Linked DNA regions of Arabidopsis thaliana. The protein of the gene in region 1 interacts with the protein of each later gene in a biochemical or structural test. Each region holds a gene or a part of one and is shown on either strand. Other genes may lie near its edges.

Region 1 (8,241 bases):
ATTTGTTTATCACATTTGTTTGATAACATATTGGTTCATTGTCTCACTCGGTGGTTAGCAAACACTTGAAAGTGGATTATGTTCCAAGCTTTTATGTATCTCCAGTCTCAGTTGGATGTTTTGTTAATAAATAAAATATGGCTCTTGCACAATGGGCATGAAACAATCTAGTACTTTACTTGGACTTCAACTGTCGTTACTTATGCTTTGCTTTCCCATAGAAAAATACAGCATATATATATAGTAGAAGCCAAAACAGAGCATAAAGATCACCATTTAAACAAAGCATATTAATGATAATATGATGATTAAACATATAAAGTATCAAACATCATAACATCATCATTAGCATCAACGTATCTCTTTTCATCTACTTAACTAACGCTACATTGAACACCAAATCTCTTTGTTTTCTTCCCACTAAAACAATGAAAATAGTACCAAACATTGAAAATCATCTACTCAAATTAAGAGGCAAATCATATCACTAGCTTTTAATCAAAAGTAAAAGCATAATCTTACCATTATCATTATCATCATGATTATATTCCATACATATTTTTGTTAATCACTACACCAAAACTATGCATTTTAGTATAGTTAGAACAGGGAAATCGTCCATAGAGCTGAGGTTTGGCACATTTGAAAATCTTTATGTTTTGTAGCATTTTTACTAAGTTTTGCTACATTGAATGACAAGTTCAACCAAAAATATTTACCAAAAAAAAAAAAACAAGTTGCTGTTCAACCAAATTCCCAAAAGTAAAAGTGGCAACGGTTGCAAAATTATTCCATCACACGGAAACGCAGCGTTTTAATATTTCCCTTGAAGACAATATAATGCCGTCTTAAGTCACTATCTGAATAACAGAGACATCAGCCAGTGAAGTGGCTGTTGATCAACGTGGAACACGTGCACGATACTTCTTTTATTAGTCATTAGCCGACAGTGGTCTCATAGCTTTCCACGTGGTGTGTTTAGAGATCGAGTTGATATTTTCAATTATTTATACTCTCAGGTCGTTGACAAGGTCGTGTGTCTATCGGAAGTTTGCAAAAGCTCCGGTGACTTGTCAACAACTGCTCCGTCACGTTCCGTCGATTTCAATCGTCTTTACATCCACTTGAATAGTTTTCGTGCATACATTATAGTAACACTCTTCTTTAATTTGCATAATGTATTAAGAATATACGAATGGCTTTTGACAATTGATTTACAAATAAAGTTTTCTAATTAAGTCAACTCCAGATTATTATTAGTTCTTGTCAACGAATGATACCAGTATTATAATTGTTTGTGAAACCCGTTATGATTATAGAATCTACAAATAGGAAACTTACATCTAAATTTTTCTTTACCAAGGAAACCTGATAACTAGATTCATATTTTTTTTTTTGTCATAAGATATTATTAAGGACTTAAAAAAAATAATTCCGAGAGAAATTATTTACAAAAGTGATATATAACTTAAATTTACATTTCTTTTTAGATTAATCATAATTATATCATATTTTAGATCCACTTAAATAAAATACAGTAAATACGCTATTCGACAACTGTAATCACATTCGAAAATTTCACGGGTAGTCGAAACCAAATCATCTTTGATAATAAACAATAATATTTTTTTTTTTTAAACTAAAAATAATAACTATTTAAAAGCGATAAACAAAACTAATTTTTTTTAACAATGTTTTTAGCAAAAATTTTACACGAAAATCTCATAATACTAACACTAAAATGAAAAAAAAAAGAATATTCAAACAATACCATATTATTTTTGTGATTTTTTCTTTAGTTAGTGGTGATACTAACATTCTTTTAACTTTACCTTTAAATTGCTAAGTTTTACAGCACCTTTTTTTTTGTTATTTTTGATTAATCCAAATAACAGGAAATATCTTCAGTAAAACAAATCTCATAATGTTAACACTAAAAAAGAAAACAGAAGGAGAAAAATTAAAAAGCGTTGTTTACTTTTTGTAATTTTGTAATTTGATTTAAGAACACGTTAACATCTACTACGCCACGTGTCAAAATAAACGTAAGACCGTCCGCATCGTAAACTTTCCTCCTTCTCCTTCTATAAAAGTTACCAGACCAGACCGTCGATATAATACGTCATCAGCCACGTCATCGACACCGACACGTGTCGGTAAAAAACCCACACGCCACATGATCCATTGGCTCGTTCGGTGTTAGCCACCGGTCTTCTGATTCCTCTCTCTCTCTTTCTTCAATTCTTCTTCTCTGTTCCCCCAAAAATATTGGGCGCAAAATCTCTCTCTCTCTCTCTCTTCGAGGAAGAAGAAGAAAAAAAAAGAAGCGAAAAGTCTTCTCCTGTTTAATTTATTTGAAAAACCCTAGCACAAGTCCGCCGTCTTTGGTTTGAAGAATCTGGGTATTGATTGATTTTGGCTTCTGGGTTAATCGCTTTTCATGTCAATTTCTCCGGTGAGTTTCGAATTTTCCGTTCTGATTTTGGTGTTTTTTTCTTTCTAATTGATTGAAATTGAATAGCTTTCTCTTTTTGTTAATCCCTGTTCATCACATAAATTTGAAAGCTTTTTGATTCAAGTATTGATTTTTGGAAACTTATGCTACTTTTTTTTTTGTTCTTCTTCTCTTCACAGCTTTTCTGAATCATTTTCGAATTGTCTCTGATGAGGTCTCGTTGAATAGATACAGACTTTGGTTCTCTTGTAATTGGTTGTGTTGAAAGCGCGTTTGGTTCACAATCAATGCCATATGGCTGAAGACAGCCTACGGGTTGGTATGATTTCATCTGGTTTGGCTGTTTTACTGAATGGTGAAGATGCTAAAGAAAATTCCTCGAAAGCTCGTATTGTTCCACATTTTGATTATTCTGGTCACCGGCCTTTAGAACGGACTATCGAATTCATATTTGGTTTAGCAGAAAAGTCGGTTGGTCCATTGGATGGTCAAGTAGACAGTAGCTTGATTAGAGCTGTGATTAAGAATCAGTTCTCGAAGCTTCATGGTGATTTGGATGTTTCAGTTAGTCAGAGAGAAGGAATCAGTGTAGTTCATCATGGTGTTGGACCTCCTATTGTTGGCCTTGAAGAGTTTAGCATATGTGGTGATATCAGGATTGTGAAGCCACCTCTTGTATTGGAGAGCTTAGCACTTTTCAGTAGCGCCAGGGCTAATGCTTGTATTTGGAAAGGAAAATGGATGTATGAAGTCGCTTTAGAGACCTCGGGAATTCAACAACTTGGATGGGCAACACTTGCTTGCCCTTTCACTGACCAGAAAGGTGTGGGTGATGCTGATGATTCATATGCTTTTGATGGTCGAAGGGTAAGCAAATGGAACAAGGAAGCTGAACCTTATGGTCAATCATGGGTTGCTGGGGATGTCATCGGTTGCTGCATAGATTTGAACTGTGATGAGATTTACTTCTACAGGAATGGTGTCTCCCTCGGGGCTGCATTTACTGGTATTAGAAAACTTGGACCTGGATTTGGGTATTACCCTGCTATATCTCTCTCCCAAGGTGAGAGATGCGAGTTAAATTTCGGCGCTTACCCGTTTAAGTACCCTGTTGACGGTTTCCAACCTCTTCAAGAAGCTCCAACTCGATTTTCATTTGCAACAGAGCTACTACGATGCTTCTCAAGACTGCTGGATAGGCCAGACCGCTCATTGGCTGATACATTAAGTCGACTGAGGAGATTTGCCTCAGTCGAAGAACTCTTTTGCCCTGTTTCGTCTGCCATATGTGATGAGTTCTTTTATATACTTGAGCAAGACCCTTTGTTGGCGGAGTACTTAGGACGGGGTGCATTTCTGTCATTCCTCTTGGAGACTTTCAGAACTCAAGCACCGCATGATTCGTCAAGTTTAGACAAAGTTCTTGATGTGTTTCTTGAGTTCCCACAATCTCATTTGATCTTTGAGCATGTAGTAAACGCTCTGGCTTGTGGCTGCAAAACAGCGACACTGATTTTAACCGAGTGTCCATACTCCGGACCTTATCCCTATCTGGCGCTGGCTTGTCATTTGTTTAAACGGGAAGAATTGATGGTACAATGGTGGAGATCTTTGCATTTCGAGTTTTTGTTTGAAGGTTTCTTGTCATGCAGGAGTTCCAACAAGCATGACTTACAGCACTTAATGCCTGTTGTTTGGTGGCCTGGATCCTCTGAAGATATATCCTACGAGAGTAGCATGGGATTTACGATCTCCGCTCTCTCTGAAGCCATTAACAAGGTATGATAGGTTATTTCTGACTTATTTTATTTTTCTATAAATAACCGCTGGCATAAGTCTCCTCTGGAATCTGAGGAACATAATTAAGTAATTCTTTCTCTTGGAATTCAGATTGAGGAGAAGCAGAGGAACCTCTGTCTCTTGGTCATACAATTCATACCACCTGTATCACCTCCCCAGCTTCCTGGTTCAGCTTTCAGGGGATTCCTACAGAACCTTTTATTGAAGAACAGAGGCGCAGATAGGACTCTGGCCCCTTCTGGAGTTACACGCAATTCGGTTCTTGTCTCTTTGTTCTCAGTTATACTCCACTTCTTGTCAGAAGGTTTTGCAATGCTGAAGAGTAGTGAAGCCGTCCATCACAATGTTGGTTTTCTTCACAGAGGTGGTCAGCAGAAGTTTCCATTGAGTTTGTTTCTTAAAAATGATCCACATCGCGCTGATATTACTAGGCTTGGCGGGCTATTTAGTCATATATCGAAGTCCTACCCCACAGATGATCAAGAAGAAGAAATAATGCGGTGGGAAGAAGGTTGTATGGATGATGAACAGAATAGAGTAACTCACGCGACTGAGCAAAAGCCATGCTGTTGCTTAGCTTATGATACCGATCTTACTAAATCCTTGAAGGATCGAGGAAAAAATACTGCTCAAAGTTCTCGTGGTCGATGCAGTTCCATTCCTGAGAGATCCTCTCATGTTGCTGCAGAATGTAGTGCTGGAAGTTTCAGTGAAGAAATAGACGACAAACCTAGCACAAGTAATCAGTCTGACCCTGACTTTGGTTATCGTCCAGTAAGATTTATGCGGACTGCACTTCAAGAGAGTAGAATCTCATCTGCTATACTAAGCGAAGAAGAACTATTGGATGCTCTATTGCTATTATACCATATTGCTGTTGCTCCAAATTTTAAGCAGGTAATTTTAATTATTCCCGTCTTAATTAGATTTTGTTGTATTTTTTGTACGATACATACCACAACCTGAATAAGCTTGAGAGGCTGATAGGTTCTCTTTCTGCTTTTCTTAGGCATCATATTACATGTCTCACCAATCGCAATCAATATCACTTCTTGAAGAAACTGATAAACAGATAAGAGAACGGGCTTCTTGTGACCAAATAAAGCGCTTGAAGGAAGCTCGCAACAACTACAAAGAAGACGTGATGGACTGTGTTAGACATTCCGCATGGTAAGTTTCACTTAACTCATGGATTGCGTTAACTCCAGAAGGAGGGTGTAGTGAAGAGGTTTCAGTTATGATTCATGTGAGGCAACATTACAATCTATATTTTTGCCCTCATTCTGAATCATTTTGTCAGGTTCCGCATCTCATTGTTCTCTCGATGGAAGCAAAGGGGAATGTATGCATTGTGCATGTGGGTTGTACAGCTACTTCTGGTTCTCAGCAAAATGGATTCTGTGTTTGTTTATATTCCAGAGTTCTACCTTGAATCTTTGGTAAACAGCTTTTGCACATTTCTGGTACTTCTTGATATAAATGTCAAATGAACATGTTTCAGTTTCTCTTTGATCAAAGTTAGTAGATCTTCCAACAACTTATTCTGTTGCGTTTTCTCTGTTTCTCAATGAAATCCCTAAGTTTACAATCTCTTTGATTATTTCCTCAGGTAGACTGTTTCCATGTGCTTCGCAAGAGCGATCCTCCGTTTGTCCCATCAACAACATTCATCAAACAAGGACTTTCATCATTTGTATGCCTAAACTCTTATCACACAATCTTTTTTGTCTGTTATTTTTCCTCATGGCTGACTGTTAGTTGATTAGCTCTAACATGGTCATTGCAAATTCTTGGGTTTCCAGATCACTTTCGTAGTTACACACTTCAACGATTCAAGGATATCGAATACAGATCTTAAAGATCTACTTCTCCAGTCAATATCCGTCCTGGTACAGTACAAAGAGTACTTGGAAGCTTTCGAGAACAATGAGGCAGCTACTCGACACATGCCTGCAGCACTACTGGCAGCGTTTGACAACAGATCTTGGATCCCTGTCACAAATATATTTCTTCGTCTTTGCAAAGGTTCTGGGTTTAGTTCTTTAAAGAACGGAGAGTCTTCGTTTTCGTCTACTGTTTTCCAGGTTGGTTAGATTGATTTGACTTTGTTCCTATCTGATCCTCAGTCTACATATTGGATTTTGATTTTCTTTTTCGTCTAGGCGCTTCTACGAGATGCTTGTATCAATGATGGTGAATTACTTTCTACTTTTCTTAACCGTCTATTCAACACACTGAGCTGGACCATCACTGAATTTTCTGTCTCGGTGCGAGAAATGCAAGAAAAGTATCAGGTCAGATTATAAGCTTGGATCATTTTCATCGATTAAGTTTTCGTAGTAATTGAATAGTTTTCCCTGAATGATTGTGGTTCTTATTCTGCATTTCCCTTACAAGTTTTTGTAGTACTCTATTTGCTTCTTTGTCCGGTTTTTGATTCGTCTTGTCTTTATGCAGGTAATGGAGTTTCAGCAAAGGAAATGTTGTGTGATATTTGAGCTTTCAAGCAATCTCGCAAGGGTCTTAGAATTCTGCACTTACGCAATGCCACAAGCATTTCTTGCTGGGACTGACACGAATCTTCGTAGGCTCACTGAGTTGATTCTTTTCATCTTGAATCACATGACCTCAGCAGTAGATGACGAGTTCTTTGATCTGTAAGTTCAAAAATATCCCAAATAGCTCTAACTTTGTTGGAAATCGCTAATTTTTAATTGATATTGTTTTCTTCTTGTTTTGAGATCTGTCAGGTCACTTAGACGGCAGGGACAACCTTCAGAGAAAGTTAGCCGAGGGATCTTATTAGCTCCTTTGGTTGGTATAATCTTGAATCTCTTGGAGGCTAGTGAAGACTCAAAACCAAAGCAACAACATGATGTAATTGGTCTTTTCGCAAGCATGGACTGTCCCGATACAGTCTATTACGGGTTTCAGTATCTCTTGGAATATAATTGGGTACGTAAGCTCTTAAATCTAGTTTCTGCTCGTTTGCTTCTCCTACTGACACAGCTTTTCAAAAACATTTTCAGGACGGTTGTGTAAGCGGGGATGATGCCTATGTAAAGAAACTTGGACAGCTTGAGAACTTCTTGAGCCATCTCATAAACCGGGCTTCATCGCAAGAACCCGAAAGAAAAGAAGAGTCATTCAACAAAGACACGACAGATATAGAAGACAACACTTGCTGTATCTGCTACGCGGGGGAGGCTAATGCAATGATTGCTCCGTGTTCACATCGATCATGTTATGGCTGCATAACTAGACATCTTCTCAACTGTCAGAGATGTTTTTTCTGCAATGCTACGGTGATAGATGTTATAAGAGATAAAGAAGAAGAAGAAGAAGAAGACGATGATGGTCACAAAAGAAGCACATGAAGCTCGGGTTAGTTGCGGTTACAGGTTGTTGATGTAGTAGACACAGAAGGAAAGATCTTTAGGATGGGAGCAAAGGAAGAAGGATTATATAGATTTATAGGATAAATAAGAAAAAACACAAACAAACAAAGGTCTGTGATAATTTTGTAGACCTGGTCTTGTGATCTCTAGGCCTCTCTTTTTTCTTGTATATATGAGAATGAAATGGAAATTATTTAAAGGCTCTCTGTTTCGCTTGGGTTCTTACTTTTCTCAACAGTGTGTTTTGGAATTACAGCGGATTTGGTGGGTTAAACCAGTAAATCGGTTACCCGGTTCGTAATTAGGTTCACTTACACTTGTTTTTTTGTTCACTTAATACTCTCAAAATCCAAATTTATAGGATCTCATTAAACTAAAAAAATCTGATAAAATTTTGGTTCAATAAGTTTTATTTGTTGTATTTTATTTAATTTTCTCAAATTTCTTTGCATAATGTATGTTTATGTAGTTTATTTTGATTGATTGTATTCTGCAATATTTTTTCTATTGGTTCAACTCTTTTAACTTTATATTACATACTAATGTTTTCCTATATAGATATAACAAAACATTTATCATTTTTTTTTT
Region 2 (4,143 bases), on another chromosome or scaffold:
AATGATGAGATCCTCTCTATTCTCTTCTCTCTCTTCCTTTTTTGTATTCTTGCCATTTAAAGTTTTAATTTTTTGCCGTAAAGCTCATTTATAATTTGAAAATTAAATTTCAGAAAGAAAAAAAAACGTCAATCATCGAGAAAGCTTTCAAATTTGCTTCTTTTTTTTTGATAAATAAACATTCAACTTTGTTCATAAAGTTTTCTTGATAAAATAATAAAATAAATTATTTCAAGGAAATTAGAGGAATATTCATTCGAACTATAGAGAAAGTACATACCAAGTGTATGATATATATATACCGTTATGGTTTTCTAATTTTACCCATTTTCCTTAAAATCTATATTTATTTTCTTCTTCCTATTACCATTATTGTTTCACTAAAACAATTGTCGAAACAAGAAAAATAAAAAAGTTATAAAATAGCATATAAAGTACAAGCAACAAAAAGAAGAGAAAAAAACAATTTCTATAAACATCCAAGGTGAGAATCAAAACAATAAATAGTTTTCCAAATTCATAAATACGTAAATCCTCCCAATTTCATGAAAATACTAATAATGTGCACAACACCAAATTCACTACAACAAAACTGACAAAAATTAGTGAAACTTTACTGACACAATAATTCCAATTTTTAATTGTTGTAACCCCACTTTTTTTGTTGAACAATCCAACAATATCACCGAGACAGAGAGAATTAAACTCAAATATATGTTAACACTTCTAGTTAAAAAAAAAAACTCTTGGTACGAAGAACAGATGAAGATAATGATGAAATTAAAATTAGATAAAAACTGTACAATGAAATGTCTCTAAAAATTCTTCTGTCTGTGACAAAAATCACAGTACTAGGACGTGTAACTTTAGCACTGTCTCTTCTTCTTTTTCTTTTTTTTTTTGTTCTTCCATGGCTTCTAAGGTTTCAGACTAACCCACTGGTACCGACCTTCAAGCGGCGTATCATTGACGATGTCGTAGTTGTACCTATACATGTTTTAAACAACTGCAAGTTAAGGATCTCTGCTATCATGCGCGTGTGTGTGGGTCTAAAAAAGACTCACTTTTCTGTGAATCGTTTCTGTTCGTATCTCTCCGCCGCCGAGAAAAAGTCATCAAGCTCTGCCTGCGTCGGTGATTTTTCCATCTTCTTCTTCTTCTCCGTCTTTCTCTGATCTCTCATCTCCGTCGTCGCCGAGTCCATTTCTGCTGTTTCTCCCAGATTCTCGCTTGATGAAATTCCCTGTTTCCTGTGAAATTCCAAAAATTATGAATTTATAGACGAAACAATGAAGAAATTGAAAAATCTTTGAAACGTCTTTTTTAGTAATTAACCTGAAATTGTTGGTGAGTAACGTTGAGATTTCGGTTTCGGAGATTTCATGAGCCTGAAAACGGAAACAAAATTAATTAATCCAAAAAAACGTAATCAGATCTTGCTCAGAGAGCATTTATTGTGAAACAGAGAAATTTCAAAATTTGTAATCTCGAGTTTCGAAATTTCACCTCCAGATCTGAAAATGGAAGACGAGTAGCGATTTCGTTAGTTTCGCTGCTGGAACAACCAGAGCTGATGCTTGAGCTTAGATGATCGTCTTCTTCTTCAGATAACGCGACGGAGCAGAAACCTCCGGAATCTGAAACCGAGTAAGCCAGAGAAGAAGAGGAAGAAGAAGAAAGAGTTCTCGTCGGTGAGCGTAAAACGTCATCATCATCATCGAGTCTCATCCTCTTGATGTTTGATCCTTCGTACTCAGAATCTCTCTTGGGTTTTGTTTCGCTCATTTCTCTCAAGCTCATTATAGTTTTCTCTGGAGAGAGTTTATGAAAAAGTTGGGGTTTCTCTGGTTAATAAAAACAGAGGAAGGGTTTTGGGTATTTGGGGGAGAGGAAGATGAAGGATCTAGAGCCGTTGATTAATTCAACGGCTGAGATTTAATTATTGGGCCTTGCCTATAGCGGATGGGCCGTTGTTGTGCCGGTTTTGAGTGGGGTCCTTTAAACTGAGTCCCGTTCACGGGGAAGCAGGTAACGGCGTCGTTACGGAGCGTAGACGCCGTCGGGATTCTAAACGACGCGTCTTTTTTGCCGTTTTTAGCTTCCTTTTAAAGCAACCCAAAACTAAAACGTCGTCCTATAAGCTGTAGAAATGTGAGTTGTGACAGTAATTTTTGTTAATTAATCTACTTTCTACTATAGATTTCTTAAACTTATATTCTTTTACACGTAAATACATTTGTCAAAACAAAAAAAATAATTCTGATGGTTGCTGATTCATAATTTCTATCATAAGCTCTAAATATCAACTTCTTAAGGATATAACTAGGCACATAGATTAGAGTCTAAAGCATTCACTTTCTTATGAGCAGCTTCACATGGAGACAGAACTATAAATACAATCAATTAAATAGTACTTATTAAATGACAACAACAAAAAACCAACTTAAAATCCAGCTTTTACATGGAATCTGTACATGTCCAAAAATGGGTTAAGAATTTTACACATACAACATGTTTATTTCCTTCTAATAAAATGGGACCATTTTCGTTATTTTTTGGCAGTGAAATAATGAGCAATAATTGACCGTTACATAATAATTGTGCTAACAAGCATTTACTTGGGATTTTTTTTTTTTTTTTTTTAAAGTTACACATGTACAATATCGAAAATATGAAATATTAGAATCTAGGCTTCATTTTGCAAAAAATAAATAAAAAATAATCTAGGCTTCAATTGTCCGATTCTGCTTCTTCAATAATTTTAAAATTTATCACAAGAAAAAAAAGAAGACTCTTCGTTAATTTTCATCCATAATAATGATGTAATCAGAATTTTCAAGGATAATGGTAAAAGGATGAGACGAAGAAGATTCATCAATACAAGTATCTTTGTTTATGGGCTAATTTACAAAAGTTATCTTTATGAATCAATGTTAATAAAAAGTAACTTTAAAGACTAATTCACTTATAAAAGTAACATAGAGATCTTGATGCCAATGTCCTAAAAGAATAAGCGTTTCAATTTCACTTGGAAATGTTTAAGACCTACGACCTACTTCAAAAACACAAACAAAAACAAATGAAGCATGAGTAGTCACATTAGATAGTATGACAATAACAAGATCACGACACATGATGAATAATAGATGCATCTTTTGTATGACTGAGAGCCATTTGTTTTAACAAGAACAGGCACTGTTCGATCCGATCCCAGCCAATGATGAATATAATGTCTATTTTGACTCATCATTTTCAACAAAATGTGAATCAAACGAAACTGGTTTTATAACCTAAAAGGTACAGGAAAATCCTCGAGAGCTTATCTTGATACGATAATGGAATATAAATAGAACTAGGATTCTTAGTTCTTAAAGAGCAAAGGCTAAAACGAAAGAAAAATTGTCCAAAAAAGTAACAACTCAAATGCAACAGTAGCTAAAGCCTGTGTTTTCAGGTAAAAATGCTAAATTTCAACTGTGATAAGTCATGATGTTGGCATATATAACTATACAAAACACAGTGAAGTAAAACACAAATAAGTACGAGCTTAGAGATTTGATGCGTCGTACCGTGAACCTAAGAAGAGTCATTCCTCATTGTGACAAGCTACTTTCTAAGAGGGTCTCAGACTCAGAGAGCTGCTTTCTTCACCTCGAAAAAATTTGAGCGTTCTCTGTTTGCTGCATCAATGTCTTCTTGTGATGCCACGGCCACTGCAACGCCTTTATCACTAACAGAGTCTATTGCCTCTGCGAATTCCTTGAAGTCCTTCAAACTGAAAAAGGATAAAATGGAAGTTACTTTTCTTATCTGTTTGATAATAACTATGTCGAAGAATTGCAACTGGCTATTTGGTAATATTCAAAGAAGTCGTTAAACTCCTAACACTACAAAACTCAGATCACAACATTGTCCCCAAGGATTTCATAAATCCCCACAGGATATCCGCGGCATACCATTATGTGGAAAGTGAAAAAGTTGTATAAATTGATTTGTATATACGCTAAAGCAAAAATGAGAGAATGCTGTTAACCTTGTAGATAATATCTCTTCACGCCTTATTTGCCTCTCTTCGTCGGTTACATTAAGTAAATGCCTCAACAAACTGTTGATAGAGATGGGAAATTAGATTGAAATTCATTA

What was found.
Region 2: the proteins of RKP (region 1) and ICK5 form a complex in vitro, tested with the Arabidopsis thaliana proteins (one study listed by BioGRID).

Annotation. Positions count from the first base shown.
Region 1 is NC_003071.7:9,363,337-9,371,577, reverse strand, and holds the start of RKP (uncharacterized protein), read left to right. Parts: upstream 1-2,116; 5' UTR 2,117-2,455; intron 2,456-2,634; 5' UTR 2,635-2,749; coding exon 2,750-4,234; intron 4,235-4,345; coding exon 4,346-5,152; intron 5,153-5,264; coding exon 5,265-5,425; intron 5,426-5,555; coding exon 5,556-5,694; intron 5,695-5,864; coding exon 5,865-5,948; intron 5,949-6,057; coding exon 6,058-6,339; intron 6,340-6,417; coding exon 6,418-6,549; intron 6,550-6,712; coding exon 6,713-6,912; intron 6,913-6,996; coding exon 6,997-7,210; intron 7,211-7,284; coding exon 7,285-7,632; 3' UTR 7,633-8,241. UniProt on the Arabidopsis thaliana protein: E3 ubiquitin-protein ligase that promotes the ubiquitination and proteasomal degradation of KRP1 and KRP2.
Region 2 is NC_003070.9:18,364,775-18,368,917, forward strand, and holds ICK5 (Cyclin-dependent kinase inhibitor family protein), read right to left. Parts: upstream 1,971-4,143; 5' UTR 1,801-1,970; coding exon 1,507-1,800; intron 1,389-1,506; coding exon 1,336-1,388; intron 1,251-1,335; coding exon 1,065-1,250; coding exon of another isoform or gene 1,061-1,064; exon of another isoform or gene 988-1,060; coding exon 918-987; 3' UTR 562-917; downstream 1-561. Other genes in the region: PREP2 (presequence protease 2), read right to left, coding at 3,631-3,775, 4,034-4,105. UniProt on the Arabidopsis thaliana protein: Binds and inhibits CYCD2-1/CDKA-1 complex kinase activity. May target specifically CDKA-1.